2 linked regions of the Mus musculus genome follow. The protein of the gene in region 2 purifies or fractionates together with the protein of the main gene of each other region. This does not show direct contact. Links are inferred from orthologs where the notes say so. Each region holds a gene or a part of one and is shown on either strand. Other genes may lie near its edges.

Region 1 (10,128 bases), on a different chromosome or scaffold from region 2:
TGGCGACAAAGTGTGCTGGCACCAAGTATGAGAGGCTGTTAGGAGAAATCCACTGCTTGGTAAGATGGCATTAAAACTGAGTGCAGTGAAAACAAAGTTGAGCAGTGGTACTTTTCAAACTGGATACTGAGTTTGGGGCCTCGTACTATTCTGTTTACTTTGTTCCTATTTGGGATTTTCTTCTTTAAAAGTTCAGAGAATGCTCACTTAGCTCAAATATTTATGTGGCCAAGTGTCATGAGCGTGTTGGTTAATAAAATTATAACTGGTTAATTTCAAATGCTACTTTGAAAAATATAAAACCTCATAGTAACATGTAACACTTATTTTGGACAGCCATGAAGAACTGTACTCAGGCCGTCCTTACGGAGCCCTGGATTCAGGCTTCAATAGTGTGGATAGTGGTGATAAGAGATGGTCAGGGAATGAGGTAAGTGTTCTGTTCATGTGTTAAAAATCCTGATTTTGAAAAATAAATTAAATTAAGGGGAATATCTAAATTGGAATTCAATTTATTAGGTAAAATAGAGAAATGTCAAAGAGCAAAAACCCTACATAGTCCTACCACCTGGGAATTCTACACTGTTTCTTTTAAAAGCACCTTTTGCCATGTATCCTCTTTCAGATTTGTTACCCAGTCTTATGCACAGATATTCTGGAAAGCTGAGTAGGAAGTGAGGTGGTTAAAGCTGAAGCCTAGTGGCTGTGGTAACACATTTCTATAACCCTAGCTAGCTCTCAGGAGGCTGAGGCAGGAGGACCATGGTTTGAAGATAGCCTGGCCTATGCAGTAAGTTCCAGAACAGCTTGCACTGCATAGCAACTGTCTCAACCCCATGAGAAGCCCTGACATCCATGTGAGGGCCAGGGTGGTCTGCGGCGGAGATGGTGATAGAATGGGTGTGCTGGAGGCTGGGAAAGTGCGCAGGACTGGACACTGATGGGTGAGGAAGGGGAACCTGAGCTTTAAGTGACAGCTCAAAAGTGGAGTCCTCTCCAGCAGGCACTGGCTGGAGCCCCACAGAAGGTGGCACAGCTCAGTGAGTTCATTCACATGCCACAAATTGCATGGGTTCTTGTTTTGATTAATTAATTCTATTAGAGTTTCCAATGAAATCCATTGCTTTGTAAAATTACTAGGATATATTTTAACTACCAATTAAAGGACTACACGTTTGCTAGAGGTGCTGATAACAGCCATTTTATAACACTGTGTCATTGAGATTCCAGACAGAAGCCTGGTGAGTAGCACAGTGCCTTGAATGCCTTCAATCTCAGTGTCAGGAGGCAGTGGCAGGTGGATCTCTGTGAGTTCAAGGCTAACCAGGACTATATAAGTCCAGGCCAACCAGAGCTACATAGTGAGACCCTGTCAAACCTAAATAAGTAAATAAATTAAATAAATAGTAAGTCAAAACAAAATTAGATCAAAACTTGAAATTTGTAGTTAGCTATATATGTATGTATGCATGTATGTATGTATGTGTCTTAGTCAGAGTTTCTATGCCTGCACAAACATCATGACCAAGAAGCAAGTTGGGGAGGAAAGGGTTTATTCAGCTTCCACTTCCACATTGCTGTTGATCACCAAGGAAGTCAGGACTGGAACTCAAGCAGGTCAGGAAGCAGGAGCTGATGCAGAGGCCATGGAGGGATGTTCTTTACTGGCTTGCCTCCCCTGGCTTGCTCAGCCTGCTCTCTTATGGAACCCAAGACTGCCAGCCCAGAGATGGTCCCACCCACAAGGGGCCTTTCCTCCTTGATCACTAACTGAGAAAATGCCTTACAGTTGGATCTCATGGAGGCATTTCTTCAACTGAAGCTCCTTTCTCTATGATAACTCCAGCTGTGAAAAGTTGACATAAAACTAGCCAGTATAGTATGTATTGGTGACTATCTTTTTGAATATTGCAATGTGTGTATATATACATAGATATTTTAAACCTATGTATATATTTGCTTACAGTTCTGAATATCCTTCTATTTTTGTTAATTGTGGTAAGGTTTGCCTATTTAAAGTACATATTTCAGTTGCATTAATTGTGTTCATAGAATTATACAATATTCTCTATTAATTTCTAAAACTTTTGCTTTTTCTTCTCCTATGTAGATTACAGTTTATATTCCTGTACTGTATGTTATCTAAAATTGGAAATGATGGTTTTTAATGTTTCTGCTTTTTAAGCCTACAGATGAATTTTCGGATCTGCCTCTTCGAGTGGCAGAGATTACCAAAGAGCAAAGACTGCGGAGAGAAAGCCAGTACCAGGAGAATCGCAGCAGTGTGGCGGTCACAAATGGTGGAGGTACACACGATTCTGATGACATTTAAAGCCTTCATGTGTGCCTTGTTATATAACAGGCTCTCCCTATAACCCTGGCTGCCCTCAAACCCCTTATGTAGCCAAGGATGGCCAGTCTTCTCCCAGCCCTGGGGGTACAGTTGTATCCCACCACACCTGGTTTTGTGGTGCTGAGAATTGAACCCAGGGCCGTGTGGGCCAGAGACAAGGACTTTACAACACAGCCCAGCTCCCACCTGAACTTTTTTGTTTTGATTTAAGGGAGTTTATTGTGGCTTAGGGTTCTAGAGGGATCCTGTCCCTCCTGATGAGGAGAGCTCGGCAGTAGACCACCATCAGTAGACTGGCAGTAGACTGGAAAGGCATGGCGACAGAAGTAGGAAGTTGCTGGTCTCCTTACCGTTTTTGAAGTGGTCTTTGTCACACCCACTCTTTAGTTTGCTTCTCTGTAGATCCTTCACCCTTCTGAAGACTTCTGTTTATATATGACCAAAAAAAAGTTTACCATTCAGATAAAATTCACTTTCTCTGTATTTTCAATTTATAATTTCTCTTTCATGTTTATTTGAGGGGAAACTTTAGGAAGAATAGATCTTTGTTCATCTTGATCTTACTACAGTCTTCTGAAGTAACATTGTCTCTTTTTAAGATTTTCCATTTTAAAGAGATTTCTTGAGCTCTTTTAGCAATCAATTGTGTTTGCTTGTATTTATTTTTAGCTTTTTGAAATAGTTATCTATTTATTATCAAGGGGTGTGCCACCACAGGTGTGGTGAGGGTAGGGACAACTTGCTCTCTCTTTCCACCTTGCAGGTCACAGGGATCAAATTCAGGTCATCAGGCATGGCAGCAAGTGTTTTTGCCTGCTCAGTCAGTTAGCTAACACTGTTTAAAACTGAGTTTTCACCCCAATATCCAGGCTGACCTCAAACTCCTGGATTCTAGTAACCTTACATCAGCCTCCTGAGCAGCTGGGGCCACAGGTGCCTGCCAGCATGCCCGTCTTCCTGCATAGCGTAGTGTTTCCTGTAGTGTTCTCTGGGGCTTCTGAATCTTATTCTAACACTTAGAACTTAGTAGTTTTAAATTAATAGAGTTCTGTCTGCTTCAATGTACTGCTGAAACAGGTTTTAGAATTGTACTCTATATTCTTTTAATTTGAGTTTTAAAGCCACATGTTGGCATTTTGAGGGCCAGTGCTGAGGGAGAAATTACATAGATTTTGTAGAAATGCATATGTTTTTGGAAGCGCTTCCATTTCTAACGATGTCAGTTACAGTTGTGATTTTGTCCTCTCTGGCTTACGTTCTTCTTTATTCCTTCACTTACATTCCATTCATATTTTAGTAGTTGTATTTTAGGTTTTGTTCTTACGTGAGTTATCTGTAGCACATTTCATTGAAGACTCAGGTCTGTGTCCACTACCCCATGTGGGTACTGAGTAGCTGAGATGCAGCCTCTGGAAGCTGGGGGGATTGCGTCAGTAGATCAAATGCTTGCTGAGATAAAATGGGGGCAGCGTTTTATCCCAAGCATCCTCATAAACGGCAGGCCTGGCAGCACACATCTGCAGTCCTAGCGCTTGGTGGGCAGAGACTGGCAGGTCCCTGATGCTTGCTGGCACCCACTTTAACCAAAGTCTTGAGCTCCGGAGTCCATGAAAAACTTCTGTTTCAAAAAATAAAGTTATGGACAAGTGAGGTGGCTCATTGGGTGAAGATGCTGTAACAGTTTTTCTGACTTGAATTTCATCCCTGAAACTCACATGACGGAAGGAAAAAAGCAGTTGCTGCAGATTCCCCCTGACATCTACACATGTGCCATGGCATACATGCCCCTGCCTCCATAAGAAATGTGACATCTGTTCTGCTGCATAGCATACATGCTCTCATCTCCACGTGTATGTCATGACATATGTGCCCCCTAAATAATAAATATGACCTCCACCTGTATGGCATGCATATGCGCCCCCCTGTAAAAAAATGTAAAAGGGAAAAAAAAAAGATCATTAGCTAAACTAAAACTAAAGTGGCTAACAGTGAAAACACCTGACATCAGCCTCTCCCCTCCACATGGACACACATGCACCTGTCATCACACGCACACTTGCATACATGCACACAGCACAGATAAACCCCACATACAAAGTTTAAAAGATGAAATGTGGCTTTTCTGAACTGAACTATAACTACAAAATCTTCATCAAATTTTGACTGTGCTGATCTGGATAGTATGAAAACCTGATGGTACTTTCTTAAGAAATAGTCTTAATATATAAACTATATTTTAGATGGAAAAATGTTTGATCTTAATAGACTTGTAGCACAAATTTCAAGTTAATAGCTGCAGTTCAGTTCAATTCAGTGTCCTGGCACAGGGGAACAGCATAAAGCAGTGGTTGAGGGTCAGTGCATGCTTGGGAAACGTCTTCACAGCGAGGTCTTTCCTAGAGCTCCATTTTACCTAGCTGTTGAAGTCCTTAGCTTCCGCTTAAGAAGGACGGCTAGCCAGAAGCTTGCCAGATGCAACAATTACATGGCCATATCTTTAGTTGCCTCCCTTTCCTCTACAGTATCTTTTTTAGTGGAATAGACATTTTGTTTAACAAGTTATATATTTTCCAGTCAGTAATTGAGTTTTTTATAAAGAATCTTGAGAAGAGAAAATTCCTCAGATGATTCCCTTTCACTACAAATTGCTTCAGAATATCTAACATACTGACCTCTAGCAAGTAATTTTCTAAATAGGGAAATCTTTGTTCTCTTTTTTTTTTTTAGTTTGAGCCACAGGAAGGGAAACAGTCAATAAGTTTCTTTTTCTCCAACTCCAGTTTCTTCTTCTCCTGGGTCTTTTTTGTTGTCTTCCACTTCCCTTTGAGTTAACTTACATTTTCTGAAACACAAACTCATGAGAAGATGGTACAGCCATCATTCTTCGCACACATGACACAGAGAAGAGCAACCATCTTCTCTGTCTCAGACTCAGGCTATCCTGCTTAAAACACCAGAGCCATCCAGAGAAAATAAATGCCAAGGGTGTATACTTCAGTGGCTTACCCTTACTTACCCTTGTTGTTGTATTCTTTAGTATATTTGGACTAAGGTTTTACAAGAGATGATTTTTGTGATGAGCCATAGACTAAATAATAAAGACATTGAAACATCATTCTTTCTGCATACAGAACAGACACAAGAGAAAGGGAAAATGTAATTTCTTTTAATATTTATCTTATGTATATGAGTACACTGTAGCTGTCTTCAGACACAGCAGCAGAAGAGGGCATCAGGTCCCATTACAGATGGTTGTGAGCCACCACGTGGTTGCTGAGAATTGAACTCAGGTCCTCTGAAAGAGCAGTCAGTGCTCTCAACCACTGAGCCATCTCTCCAGCTCCAGGAGAATGCAATTTAAGCAAATGTTTTTATTAGCTGTTTAATTTTGAATCTCTCTCTCTCTCTCTCTCTCTCTCTCTCTCTCTCTCTCTCTCTGTGTGTGTGTGTGTGTGTGTGTGTGTGTGTGTGTGTGTGTGTGTGTGTGTGCTGTGTACAGTGGAGCATGATCTGGATCAGATTGACTACATTGACAGCTGTACTACAGAAGAAGAAGAAAACGACGTGAAACAACCCAAAAGCCTGGACACGAACAGTCTCAGCTCACAGTTTATGGCATATATTGAACAACGGAGAATCTCACATGAGGTAGCAGTGTACCCTTTTACCCTTTCTAGACTGAGAACAGTTGGTGATGGTAGAGATCCTTGTCCTATCAGTGATTTATTGGTTTGGGCCTAATTGTTTCATTTTTCCCTTATTGTTTTATCCCTGGAGTTTTCAGATTTAATTTGGAAAAGTCAGAGAGTAGTCTCAAAAATGATTCCAGTTTTATTCCTCAGATAAGCGGGCAGATTTCATTCTTTTGAAGAGACAGTGAAAGGAGATCTGAGCGTGACCTCAGGCCTCTGAAGGAAGTACACGGGATAGGATACTTCTCGTTGCTAGGTAGTTTTGCTTTCTGGTTGGTCTTTTTTGCTTAACTCTTTTGCTTTTTTATTATTGCTAATTATAAGCCTTAATATGATAGATAATTAAACCAAAGTTGACTTTTGAGGAAACATTCGACTTACCCATAGAATATTATAAGTTTAATTATGCTGGTGCTTTTATCCTGAGTTAACAGAATATAAACTGTTTGCTATTAAAATTCTTGGTGTCTCTTATAATGAAGCATTGAATTGCCTAAAAAACAAGTAAGCATTCAGGCCACTGTAGAGTCTCTGCCAATTCCTCAAAGGTCTCAAGTAGAATAGCATTCTTCAATCTATCTAGTCAGCATAGTAAAATGGTTTCATTTTAGTGTTGTGTTGATGTCTGGAGTTTGTCCCAGGCCCTGAGCAGGGGTTGTTTGAGAAACACTAGGGGCCTTTTTGGAAAACGATGTATTTAACTTTTAGAAATCAGGGATCAGCTGCTTCAAGTGGAGGGTGGTGTGGAGTAATAGCCTTCCTTAAAAGAAGCCTTTGGTTCCTGTTGAACACAGTGGGGTTTGTTGCAGTTCAGAAGATACTTGTTTCTAAAATCAGATAAAATCAAACCCTGTAGCCAAGAGATAATGATAGACCAATGATTGACAAAACTGCCTTGTGGTTTAAGCTGTCAGTCTCTCTGCTGGAGCCAAGAGTTTCTTTCTAATAAAATTTAGACTAATAATACTGCATAATACTCTTTAGAGAAATCCCTTTTCTTCTTCTGTCCTCTTTTTCTTTCTTTTTTATTAGATACTTTCTTCATTTACATTTCAAATACTATCCCCAAAGTCCCCTATACCCCCCCCTCTTTTTCTTTAATGACTTTAAAATGCTTTAGGTTGTCTAAGTGAGGTGTCTCTGCAGATGCTGCTTACTGCCTCCTGAGACCTGTTGGAGTCACTTCTTCCCTTCACATTGTAGAGGCTCCTTGCAGTGTTTCTAAACTCCTAACTACCTCGTGTGTGTGGTAGCCATGTGGTTCTATGGAATAAGACTCTTGGTATTTTTGTGTCATATATCTTTCAAAAATTGAGTGTTTGTGGAAGTATAGCGAAGGGGTTAGTTTAAGTTAACAACCTGTGAAGTTGACGCTGATGAAGTACCTCAGCAGGTGCAGTTAGGCCTGTAAGTAGATGGTTTCTGAGGATCCTTTTTGTTGGTTTTTTTGAGACAGGGTCTCTCTACAGAGCCCTGGCAGTCCTACAACTCACTCTGTAGACTAGGCTGGCCTCACAGAGATCTGCCTGCCTCTGCCTCCCGAGTGCCCACCACCTCCCCGGTCTCAAAAGTCCTTCTTATTCTGAAAATATCACTCTGCTTAATCACTAATTTATATACTACAGTGAGATGAGAACCTTGTAAGCAAAACACACAGTTATAGATTGTGCATATTCTTATTTATCAAAGCCTAGGTAATACCACTTACAGTTGTGTTTTGTGTGTGTGTGTGTGTGTGTGTGTGTGTGTGTGTGTGTTTACATCAGCACACATACCACAGTGTGTACAACATGGAGGTCTGAAGACAATTTTGTGGAATTGTTTTTTTTCATTCAGCATTTTTTTTTTAGGCTCTGGAGATCAAACTCAGGTTGTGGGGTTTGCACAGAAAGTGCGTTTTTACACATCGGTGTTTACACGCTGGCCCACCTCACCAGCCCTTGTTTTGTTTTGTGTTTTGAGATAAGAGTCTTGCTATGTCACTCAGGCTGTGCTCAAACACGTCATTCTTTGCCTCAGCTTCCTGAGCCTGAGTTACAGCCACCATCACACCTGCTAGCCTGGGTGCTCTGAAACACTAAGCTCACAGAGGAAAAGCCTACCAAAGTCATTTTTAATGTATAATTTCCTAAATGTTAAACTAGTTGAATATGTAATTGCTGCATTTTAATATATTATGCATGTTAATTACTGACTACTTTTTCTTTTCTTTTTCTTTCTTTTTTTTGGGGGGGTCTAGGTTTCACCAGTAAAGCCAATAGCCGTTAGAGAGTTTCAAAAAACAGAAGACATGAAAAGATACTCACATCAAAACAGGTTTGAAAAAGCAATTCAGCTTAATTCTTTCTTTCTTCAAACTTAGTAATAAGTGAATTGATTTTATTTTGTGCAAATCCAAATATAATGAAGATATTTGGCTTATGTGAACCTTAAAGGCTATTTTAAACTAGATCAGTCTGCCTTTGTTCTAACACCATCTTTAAAAAGAGTGAAATTACTTGGTTCCAAATCCAGTGTTTATTCAAGCATAGAAAATGGAAAGATTTTCAGAAACCCTGTATTTACTTCTTCCTTCTACATAGACAGTCTTTCCACCATGCTTAAGGTCTCCCTTCCTCTAAACCAGCTCAATGCTGTTTTCATTGTAGAATTCCAAAATGATTCTGCTATAAACTGCATCACAGTAGTTAATTTTTTTGTCTTTGATCTTTGTGAATGAAATCTTTAAAAAAAAATTAGTAGATTTGATATATCTGGGGTTTTTTTGTTTATTTGTTTTTTAAGTCATGGTTCCTCTATGTAGCCCTGGCTGTCTTGAAACTCACTGTGTAGACCAGGCTGGCCTTGAACTCAGAGATATGTCTGTTCTTAAATCATAGGAAATTTACTATGTAGCATCTATCATTCATCCATAGGTCTTTATACCAAATAGCATGCTAATGTTGTCCCAGGAACTATGAATGAAGTAGCTGGAATAAAGAAAATGTACTTATGGGGCTAGAGTTGGCTCAACAGTTAAGAGCACTGACTGCTCTTCCAGAGATCCTAAGTTCAATTCCCAGCAACCACACGGTGGCTCACAACCATCTGTAATGAGATCTGATTCCCCCTTCTGGGGTGTCTGAAGATAGCTACAGTGTACTTAAATAAAATAAATCTTTAAAAAAAAACATAGTGAAAACATATTTTTAAAAAAGGTAAAAAGAAAAATGTAGTTGTATAGATACTGTAAGTGTTACAGCTCTAAGGGGAAAGGTATCCTGATAGTTGAGAGCCAAGGAATACCAAAGTCATACCTTACAACAAAACTCGCACACAGATTTATAGGAGAGAGGGTGCCTTCCTCTGCTTGGGAGAGAAGCAGCAAAAAATCTGGGCAGGAGGCAGGCTTTATTTAGGGTTCCTTGGCAGCAGAGCTTTCTAGGGTACCCTGGGATTGGGGGCATTTTATGGCTTGATCTTGGGCTTTTTTTTTTTTTTTCTGTAGGGCAGGGTCTGGCCACACACCTGCCTTGAAGGACTGAAAGGGTCATTATGGCCGTTGGAGAAGACTGAGAGCCAATGCCCCAGAATCAGTCATCATAATACAAAAACTTTAAAGGCATAAAGTAGACCAATGTTCCTCAACAAGATTCAGCTCCCCTCCTTCGAGGCTGTTTGAAAATGTATCAATTCCTTATGGGAATCAGTTCCCAGCATCACTATAGGTGCTAGAGGCTGGCCACCTCTGCCATGAGAGACACTCTTAAAGAATGCCTTACGTGAATGTGGGTGATGCTGTTGCTGAGAGGCAGCCCTAAGTCAAAAGCTCATGGGCATGAAGGAGGGACAGGGCTGCGGTGGCCCACGAGCACCACGCGGTCACCTACACTGGCTCTCACACACACCGTGCTTCCTTCCTTCAGTCTCCATCCTTAACTTCTCACAGCTCAGTTGTTGACATCGCAGGTGCGTGCTTCATCGGGGTGTGTGCTGCTCCCCTTCTAGCCCCAGAGTACCTCCCCTCTCTGCGTGTCTGCTGAGTGGCCATGACAGAGTAGGAAGAGCTCCAACTGCTCACCAGGAAAGTGGGTTCTAGTGCAG
Region 2 (10,228 bases):
TGGCCTGAGTTCAATCTTTGTGCTTCATCAGGCTCCCGTGTACTTGAACTACAAGACTATACCACTGAATCCCATGCCTCTGAACCTCAGTGTAGATTTTACATGTTCCATTTCAAACCATCTTCCTATATACCTGACAATCTCGGCTAATCCCCAGATCCAAAGAGCCCCATTATAACAAAAACTCTGCCACACCAAAGAGCTCACCTGGTAAGGGTTAATCAGCTGATTTAAAAATAAAAATGTATATTTTTATTTATTTGTATGTGTCTGTGTGAGTACATGCTAGGCATGTATGGATATCTGCAATGGTTAGAAGACACTAAATCCCCTGGAGATGAATTTGCAGGTGGTCGTAAGCCACCCAACAAGGATGCTGGTAGTGGAATTCTGGTCTTCCGGAAGAACAAGTGCCCTTAACTGATGAACCATCTCTCCAACCACTGGGTACTTTCAAACACAATAACAAGTGATGTAACACACACACACAAAAGATGCCTGTGTTTTTGCCGGGAGCTTCCCTGGTCACATTAGTCAGCATGAGTGCTCGTGTTCGCCCTGCATGAATATACACTGAAGGAATGTGCTTCGGTGTTTTGGTTTCACCAGACGCATGCCTTCTGCACAGCCAATTATCTCCTCTCTTTTTAACACCAGCGAGACTTCTAAACATGCCAGAGTTGCGCTTTGGGTTTCTGTTTTGTTTTGTTTGTTGTTGGATTCTTTGGGGTTTGTTGTTGTTGTTTGTTTTCGAGACAGGGTTTCTCTGTGTAGCCCTGGCTGTCCTGGAACTCACTCTGTAGACCAGGCTGGCCTTGAACTCAGAAACCCGCCTGCCTCTGCCTCCCGAGTGCTGGGATTAAAGGTGTGCGCCACCACCGCCCAGCTGTGCTTTGGGTTTTATTTCCTAGGCTTCAGTACTCACAAAGAAAATTTTGGTGGATTTGTGGTGATTTCTCAAAATTTTATGTTATTGCTTACTAATATTTATGCTTTAAGGTCATCAGCCCACTAAAAAAAAACTAACAAATAAAAGCATATTACTGTAAACACAAAAAATCTCGGTACTTCTAAACATTACCTAAAGCCTCAAAAAACAGAACTTTTAAGTCATTTAACTAGGATCAGTTGTCAATTATCTGTACTCTCACCTCTTCCCGAAAGAAAAAACAAAGCATGTTACAGTCAAATGCTAATGATTCATATTTAAGTCATTGGATGGTTTTTTATTCACTTACATTAGAATATGAATAGCCTTGGATACAAACTCTTAGCAGTTCCAATAAGAAAAATCCCTATCCAGGTGGGCCCTGCTCAGCCTTCCCTGTGTTTTTCTACACATCTATCCAAAAGGGCTCTGCCATTTCATTCCATTAGGTGAATTACAGCTCAGGGATACTCATGAAGCTTGAGTTTATACACACACACACACACACACACACACACACACACACATATATATATATATATATACAGAGAGAGAGAGAGAGAGAGAGCACTAGAGAGGAGAGAGCTAGAGAGATAGCTCACAGGTTAAGAGCACTTGTTCTTCTAGAAGACCCAAGTTTGGTTCCCAGCACCCAAGTCAAGCAGCTCACAACCAACCATAGCTCAAGATAAATGGGGTGTGGTACCCTTTTCTGGCCTCTTCAGGCATTCATATTTATGTGCACACATGCATATGTGCACACACACACACACAAGTAAATAATTAATAAAGTAAATTTTCTTTGAGAAGCCATGAACCATTTTGATTAAAACACACTGTATAAGCTGGGTGTGGTAGTATATGCCTTTAATTCCAGCACTCAAGAGACAGAAGTAAATGTAACCCTGTGGGTTAGAGGACAGCCAGGTTGTGAGTTCTGGACCAGTCAGGGTTGCACTACATAGTGAGACCCTATCCCAAAAAAGCAGGGAGGGGGGGGGGTAGCAAGATGGCTCAGCAGATTGAAAACAAAACAAAAAATCACTTGCCAGGCCAACAGGATGACCTGAGTTTGGCAAAAATTGACTCCACAAAACTGTCCTCTGACTTTCACAGATATGCCATGTGTGGTCACACACAAGTTATATACACACAATAAACAAACAAACAAACAAACTGTCCTAGGCTAAAGATATAGTTCCCCTGATGAACTGCCTACCTAGCACAGAACCAGGTTTCATTCCCTGTACTGCATACGCAAGGGCAGAGCTGCAAGCTCTGGCACTCAAGAGGTAGAGGTAGGCGGATGTCTTAATCTTTTTTTTTTTTTTTTTTTTCGAGACAGGGTTTCTCTGTATAGCCCTGGAACTCACTCTGTAGACCAGGCTGACCTCGAACTCAGAAATCAGCCTGCCTCTGCCTCCCAAGGGCTGGGATTAAAGGCGTGCGCCACCACCACTATTTTTTATTTCTTAAAGCACAACTATTTGTTCATAGCTATATGCCAAGGCCTATGTGGGGTAGTCAGAGGACAAATTCACAGAAGTTGTTTCCTTGAGACCCAGGTATCCAACTAAGGTCATCAGGGTTCCAGACAAGTGTTTTTACCTGCTAAGCATCTCCCAGGCCTAGATATCTTAATCTTGAAGCATGTTTCCCTCCTAAGGTTAAAGCTAATTGAATAACATTTAAAAGACAGCTACTGTATTAAAGAGCAACAATCTAGCTCATTTGAAGGACAAAAACCAAAGTTCCATCCTGACCAGAAACATCATATACTGCTCAGCTACAATGAAATCAATCCAGGATTAGATTGCAGTGTTAATTCCTATAAACCCATCAAAATGAAAAGCACATAATACTTAATACATGCTGGAACCACTCCAGACGTGATGCCAAAGCATTGGGTCACTGCTCAAGGCCTTGAGAAAGAAGACAGAATTCTCAGTTCGTTCTAGACTCCATGCATGGCCTATCACAGTTTACCTAGGGTACCGACTCCTAATCTCCAGATCAGGCCTACAAAGGGCTCTCAATAGTTCACCAAGTAAACCGAAATCAAGACAACTTCTGGGCAAAGGAGGAGAGAGGCTTTGTTGTCAGAGACTTCCATGTGTACTCAGAGTCTGGACTTTGCCCCTCCAAAGCTACAAGCAAGTATTCATTCTCTGAGCCTCTGTTTTCTCCTCTATAAAAGGAAAGGCTGTCAACCTGGAATATTATTTTGTAAATCAAACCTTTAGGGGTTTTTTTTGTGTGTCACATCACTACTAAATCGCCAGCTCATAAACTGTTAACAAAGTATCTCTTTCTGGGAATCACCATTATACTGTGTGAGATTTATTCAAATTGCAATGTGTTTTTCAAATTGCAATGTTTAAATAAGATGTTCTAATATAATATATATAATAATATAAATGAAACTCCAGTACCCAGGGCCTCACACACACACACACACACACACACACACACACACACACACACGCGCGCGCACACACACACACAAGGCAAGGTCTTTACCCACTGAGTTACACTCCCAATCCTGTACCCTAAGTGGAGTTTTGAATACCAAGAGAAAGTTAAAAACTAGAGAATGGTTTTTTATGTGGAGTTCTTATGGATTTATTCAGACCTTGCATGGTGGAAATCTTTAAAACCATCTAAAGGCCTTTCAAAACCCAGATACAGTCCAGTTGTCTAAACAATAAGTGATCCACCACAGACGCCAGGCAAAGTCACAACAGGATGAGCGAGGAGCCTTCGGCTTCTCTCCGATTTCCTGGCCACTGTTATTTTAAAATTTGATCGTGTAAACAAGGGAAAATCCCTTTCGGACAAGTCCCATGGACTATAATTTGCATCTTTGTTTTTAATATGTTGTAGCTTCTATGAAAAATCATAGTTGTTCACTTTTTCTTGCTCATGTGTCTAGGTACTAAAGACCATATGTAAAATCTATACTCCACGGCTTTTTAACTGTATAATCGCAATACTCTTTTCTTAAGGGTTGTATTCTGTCCCTGCCTTTTACAAGTAACTTTTGAAAACAAATACAAAACTTGAAAGGAAGAGGGAAAAAAATGGGTAACAGATCACACACACGAAATAAAAACACTACAGGCCGACGAGCATCAGACTAAAATGACTTCTATTTATCACTGTGCCTGTTTACTCCTGTGCAACTGCAAACACAGAAAATGGGCAGACATTTAAAAGTCAATGAGCTGTTCTGAAGAACTACATTGTTTCTGGGCTTCCTCTGTCCCCCTTGTAGCATTTGTGGCCATTTCTAAAATTAATGCTAGAGAGCACTAAGGTAATTTTTTTTTCACTAAACATTTCCCAGTTGGAAAACCACAAGCCAAGATGTCTTGAAGTCGAGTTAATTTGTACAGAAATGCTGCTGTTCCGCAGCCAACCTTTGGACCATGACCACCACCAAGCTCAAGACTCAGATTTTATGGTGTTACAGCCGAGCCTCAAAGGCTGTTAAAAGTCTCAAGCTGACTAACTATATTCGAAAATCCTGCAACTGTAACACGAGAGCAAACTAAAGTTTTATTCAACACATATGAAATCGGAGCAGCGTTTGTGTAGCGCTCCAGCAGTATCTCCACATTGGGATTTAAACAGCTCTGCCCTACATACTTTATGCCGGATAAAATGTATCTTTGTGTAAAAGTTCCTGACATAGATTATCTAAGAATGGCCTTATCAAATTATTTCCTATTTTAAAATACAATCCACAGCTAGCACGTTTTAATTAGTTTAAGACGATTTGGAATTAAATAACAAAGTTATTTTCAGCAACACATCCGTAAAACTCACACTCAAAATACTAGAACGCTTAGGAACTAAAATTCCAGCTTTATAGTATGCTACCATGGTCTTCTTCGACACAGCTAAATTATTAATGGTATCAATTGATCTTTACTCTGACAACAAACTAGACTGTGTAGCTTTTTCACTGTGTTTCGAAAGGAGAAAATAAAACTATCTTGCAGTGTCGGGTGGGACTCGTCAGGTGACAGGAGCCCCGCTGGCCCGGGAAGGGGAAGCCAGAGCTCCAGTCCGCGCCGGGCAGAGCAGAGGCCAAGGCGGTGAGGACAGGCAGGCGGGCAGGCGCCCACACTCACCCGGCGAGGCAGGTGCGCGAGGGGTCGCGGCCGTGGAGAGGCTGCCGGGCTGCGGGCGCGAAGGGCAAGCGCGACACCGCGGCCGAGAGCGAGCACCGGAGACGACAGCACGACGGCGGCCGGGATACGCTTCCTGCTGGGACAGATCCCGGATCGGTCTCCACCCGCCGGCCAGAGAGCCCTGCAGAGTGCCCAGCCTGCGCACGTCACTGCTACGGAGCGCCCAAGGGGGCGGGAGGCGGGGCCGGAGGCGGGATTTTGTGGGACCGGGGCGGGGCGGCTAAAGAAAGGGCGGGTCTTCATTGGCCAGTGGGCGGGAACAGCCTAAGGGGCGGGGTCTTGGGGCAGAAGGGCTGAGAGGGGCGGGGTCCTAGGCAGCAGGACAGGGAGGACTCGCAAAGCGTAGGGTCTTGGGAATGAAGGAGCAGAGGGACGTGGCCTCAAGTCAAGGAACGCCGGGGCGGCTGTGAAGGGGAGGCCTCAAGAGCTAGGGTTGAGAGGGGCGGGACCTCATGAGGCGCCGGGGAAGGGGGTGGTTGAAGGAGTGCTGGGTAGGGGCGTGGCCTAATGGCGTGGGGCAAGAGAAGGGCGGGGCCTCAGGTTCCGACCGCATCCCTGCATCCCTGCAAGCCAAGGGCTGCAGGTAGCCCCTCATGACATTCCCTACCTCGCAGTGGTAGTTGTTTCCACTGCCACAGCGAGGGACCACAGCAAAGAGTCAGTTGAAGAAAAGTTGAGAGTGGGACAGGCGAATTGCGGAGGAACTCGCTTGTGGGGATTAAGGGTGGCACCGCAGCCCATCTAGGCTCGTGCTCCTCACCTGCCTGCGTCAACTTCCTGTTCAGCCCTTGGAGGATTGAACCACGGAAGAAAATTTTTTCTTCTCTGGCTAGCCTCCCATGCAGATATCATATTTACTTCTTACAGCCCCTGTATTTCCACCTCGCCCCCTTTGTTGTTGTTTATCTGGACTCTTGAGAGAGTCTCGGTCTGTAACCAGGCAGTCCTGGAACTCATCATGTAGCCCGCGCAAGCCTAAGAATAGTGACAATCCTTGTGGGCTGGTTTTATAGAACTGAGCCAACTGGCCCGCTTTATCTTTCCGGTTGTTTAATTTTACTGTCCTTATAAGGTCATATGTGGGTCATCTTTTTAAATTAAATATTACATTCCTATGCAAATTTGAGAGCAAACATCTCCTTTACTAGAAAAAAGAGGTTAATATGAAAACAAAATAAGGGGCTGGCAAGATAGTTCAGCCAGTGAGGGTTCTTGCAGCCCATCCTGAAGCCCAGCATGTTTCAAGGAGAGAAACAACTCCTCATATTGTACTCTGACCACTGGGCTCTGTCTAGAAGATTCCCAGAGAAGACAGGTTTCAGGAATTCAAACTGGACCTGGTGCCTCGTGCTTGTAATTCTAGCTACTCGGGAAGCTGCATGTTCAAGACCAGCATGGTCAGTTAGTAATATCCTGTTTCAGAGAGAGATGGGCTATAACTAAGTCCACGGTAGAATACTTGCCTAGCATGTGAGGCCCTGGGTTCAATCCATATCACCACAAAAAAATGGTAAGGGAAGGGTCAGGCATTCAGAGACGACCCAAATGACTTGATGAAAAAGCTACCTTCCACTGAACACATTTCAAATTCGTAAGACAGTAAGTAAAATTAGGGAAACTAAAAAAGAGGAAGGAAAACCAAGAAAGGAAGTAATTTACAGCAACCACAGAAATGTAGCTCCAAGATTGCCAAAAGAAAAATCTCAACTATATCAAAGATTGTAAAATAAACTAAAACCAGGGGCAGACTTATTTCTCAAATTCCAGTACTAAGGTGAGAGAGGGGGATAGAGGGCAAGCAGAACCCTTGGCTCACCATTGGCTCACCCTGGCCAGCCATTCTAGCAGAAAAGGAGAGCTCTGGACTCACTGAGACCCCACTACAAAAAATAAGAGGATGAAAGACTGAAGAAGATGCTTGTGTTGGTTAGGTTTTTTATCTGTTTTGCTTTGTTTTATGTGGGTTTGTTTTGTTTTGTTTGGCAAAACTTCATGCAAGTTAGAGTCGTCTGAAAGGGAACTTTAGTTTTTAAAAATCCCCCATCAAATTACCCTGTAGGCAAGCTTATGGGACATTTTCTTGGTTGATTGATAATTGATGGAATTAATTAATGGAAGGACCCAGTACACTGTGAAAAGTGTCATTCCTGGGCAGGTGGTCCCAGGGAATATAAGAAAGCAAACTGAACAAGCCAGGATGAATAGGCCAGTAAGTAGGAATTCTCCTTTACCTCTGCAACAGTTCCTGCTTTCAGGTTCCTGTTTTGAGTTCCTGTGATGGATTGAGAGTTGAAATAAACCCTAAACTGGCTTTGGGTGGTGTTATATCATAGTAATACAAAGCAGACTAAGACAATGCCTAACATAGGGCTCCTACCCAAATATATTGCAGGTACGCAGAAATAATTGGCTTTTTAAAATGAAGATCATGGTGCTGAAGAGATGGCTCAGCAGTTATGAGTACATAGTAGCTCATAAGAGCTTTTAAATCCAGCTCCAGGGGGAAATCTCATAGGCTTATTCTGGCTTCATCAAGCACTGCATTCCTGTGGTACACAGACATATGTACAAGCACAACGCCCTACACATGAAGTAGGTAGAATAATAATAGTAATGATAATAATTAATAATGATAAATTTCTTTAAAGGAAAAATGAAGATCGCTACATATTTTTAATACATACCTTACTTAAGTTTGAATTTGACATAAAGATAATCTGTTTGTAAGTCAGTAGAAGGTGTTTTATTTACAGTTGCTTTTTGTAACTAATGACATCCATGAGTCTTACCCTTTGTCCCTGCTTTAATCTGTTTCATCTCTTTACTTCTAGCCTCATATCTCTCTGCCCATTTCTTCTTTCTACCTCCGACTGTTACCATTTTCTGGGCCACCATCACTACAGATCTTAGATAATCATAACCACTAGTCCATAGTTAGAAATCCAAGTGAGTGGTTCTCCACTATCCTCAGTAGAAAGTCCAAACCCCTTAAGATTCCTCTTCTCCTGGACCCTTACCTACTTGGAGACTGGCTCTGTGAGTTACCCCTTAAGATACCTTCCCCTGGACCCTTACCCACATGGAGACTGGGTTTGTGGGCTACCCCTTAAGATACCTCCCCCTGGACCCTTACACGCTTAGAGACTGGCTCTGTGGGTTGACGAATGCTAGGCAAGCCCAGCAAAACTGAGTTACATCAGTCCTAAAACACCTGGTAAGATCCTGAATCTAACCGTCTTTCACGAACTGGTTGTTCTTGTTCAATTAGTCTAGTGGATTATTCCTTCTTTCTATCTTTTTTTTGGGCTCTTCGATGGTCATGTGATCCCACAGTTCACCACTGTGTTCAAGCCGACAAGCTGAGCCACCAGGTATCTGTCCTGGGAATCGCTGTCTTCTCCATGCTTAGCTGCCCAATCTCATTTCTACCCACAGCCTTCCTCCATGTCTCGTACTTTACATTCAAGTCATTCTGAAGGGCTTTTGTGTCCCCAAACACACACTCTATGCTATTTACTACACTGGAGCACAGCCAGGCTAAACCCAATTATTCCTTCAAAACAAAGCCTGCTTGTCCTCTCTAAGAATTTTCCCTACCCGCCCTGATGGTAAATCCTAGGCATAATTCAGTTCTGTCCCCATCCTTCACTTAACATCTACTGTACAAATATCTCTTATAATGCATATTGTACTCTGGCCACCTATGTGTTCTTTTGTGTATTCTCTAGTTAGCCTGTACACTCTTTGAGGGCACAATAGACTATCCTTTGGATTTCAAGTGTGGAGCACAGTAGCTTTTTCGTTAAGAAGTGCCTACAGGGCCCAAGATATAGCTCAGTGGTAACGTACTTAATGCTAAATAAATAAATAGTGCCTAGCATTGGTGTTATTATGAATAAAGAGGAAAGATGGACAGATGATGATTCTGGAAACTGCATATGTTATCATCAAGCATAATGGAAGTAACTCTGTCTCTGTGACCCAACCCCAGTCCATACTTACATGCCCTAAGTCTACAGCTCGATTTGACCCTCCACAGTCCCTCCTCTTTTCTAAAACAGGGTCCCATATATCACAGGCAGGCCTGGGACGTGCTTATAGCTGAGGCTGTTCTTTAACTTTCTTTTTAAAATTTAATTAAGTCTTTGGCAACTTCATACTTGTGTTATGTGATTACTATGGAGACTTCTGAGATTTCTCCTTCTACCCCTATCTCCTAGACTGTTAAGATCACAGACACTGTGGTTTACACAGTCCTGGGGACGAGCCCCAGAGCCTGGTGCCTGTTCTCCTGGGGACAAACCCCAGAGCCTGGTGCCTGCTTGGCAGGCCCTCTACCAACCATGATATATCCCAGCATGGATGGCAGAGGCTATCCCAGAAATTCTTTCATTTGTTTTCCTTTCTTTTTTTATTACTTTTGTTTATTTATTTGTGTGCATGTGTGTGTGTGTGTGTGTGTGTGTGTGTGTGTGTGCACTCGCACATGTGAAAGATCAGAGAACAACTTGTGGGAGTTGATTCTCTCTCAGACTCATCTCCCCAGGCTTAATGACAAGTGCCTTTACCACTAAGCATACTTGGCTCATACCTCAGAAATTCTCCACCTAAAGATCTATAGATATCATCCATGGGAATGCCATGAGCATCCCCCTCCTAACCATATGCAATTTTTTATGAGTTTTGATTTGTGTTTTCAGAAATTCATATTACAGGTTCATGAAGGGTCTGCTTTAAAGGGTCTGTGATACCAACTCCTAGAGTAACGTAGACAGAATCCCTATGGGTGTGATGCAGAAACTCATCTTTCTGTTCAAACTAACTCAACTAATGCTGACAGTCCTGCTGGCTGGCATCACCAGGACCTGTGCCCAGAAGCTGTAGGACACCATCCAGGGCTCCTTCTCTTCTTCTACTTTCAAAGTCACCAGATCCAGCTCATTACATATCCTAAATTATTCCAGAGTTGATACTTCACTGCATCTTAGGATGGCTCATCTTCTTTTATGTGAACTCTGGATGTTGTTTCTGCTCATTCCAGCCCATTCTCTGCTCCATTCCTAGAGTTACCTCCTGTCAAATCTGATGACGTCACCCCCTTTAC

What was found. The genes of interacting proteins can lie anywhere in the genome.
Region 1: the proteins of Myo6 (region 2) and Lrch3 purify together in Homo sapiens (co-immunoprecipitation; 3 studies listed by BioGRID and IntAct, with this or other methods). This does not show direct contact. The link is inferred for Mus musculus from reciprocal best matches to the Homo sapiens genes MYO6 and LRCH3.

What each region holds. Positions count from the first base shown.
Region 1 is NC_000082.6:32,973,544-32,983,671, forward strand, and holds part of Lrch3 (DISP complex protein LRCH3), read left to right. Parts: intron 1-336; coding exon 337-430; intron 431-2,185; coding exon 2,186-2,306; intron 2,307-5,852; coding exon 5,853-6,001; intron 6,002-8,284; coding exon 8,285-8,361; intron 8,362-10,128. UniProt on the Homo sapiens protein: As part of the DISP complex, may regulate the association of septins with actin and thereby regulate the actin cytoskeleton.
Region 2 is NC_000075.6:80,160,066-80,170,293, reverse strand, and holds the start of Myo6 (unconventional myosin-VI), read right to left. Parts: upstream 5,261-10,228; 5' UTR 5,065-5,260; intron 1-5,064. UniProt on the Homo sapiens protein: Myosins are actin-based motor molecules with ATPase activity. Unconventional myosins serve in intracellular movements. Myosin 6 is a reverse-direction motor protein that moves towards the minus-end of actin filaments.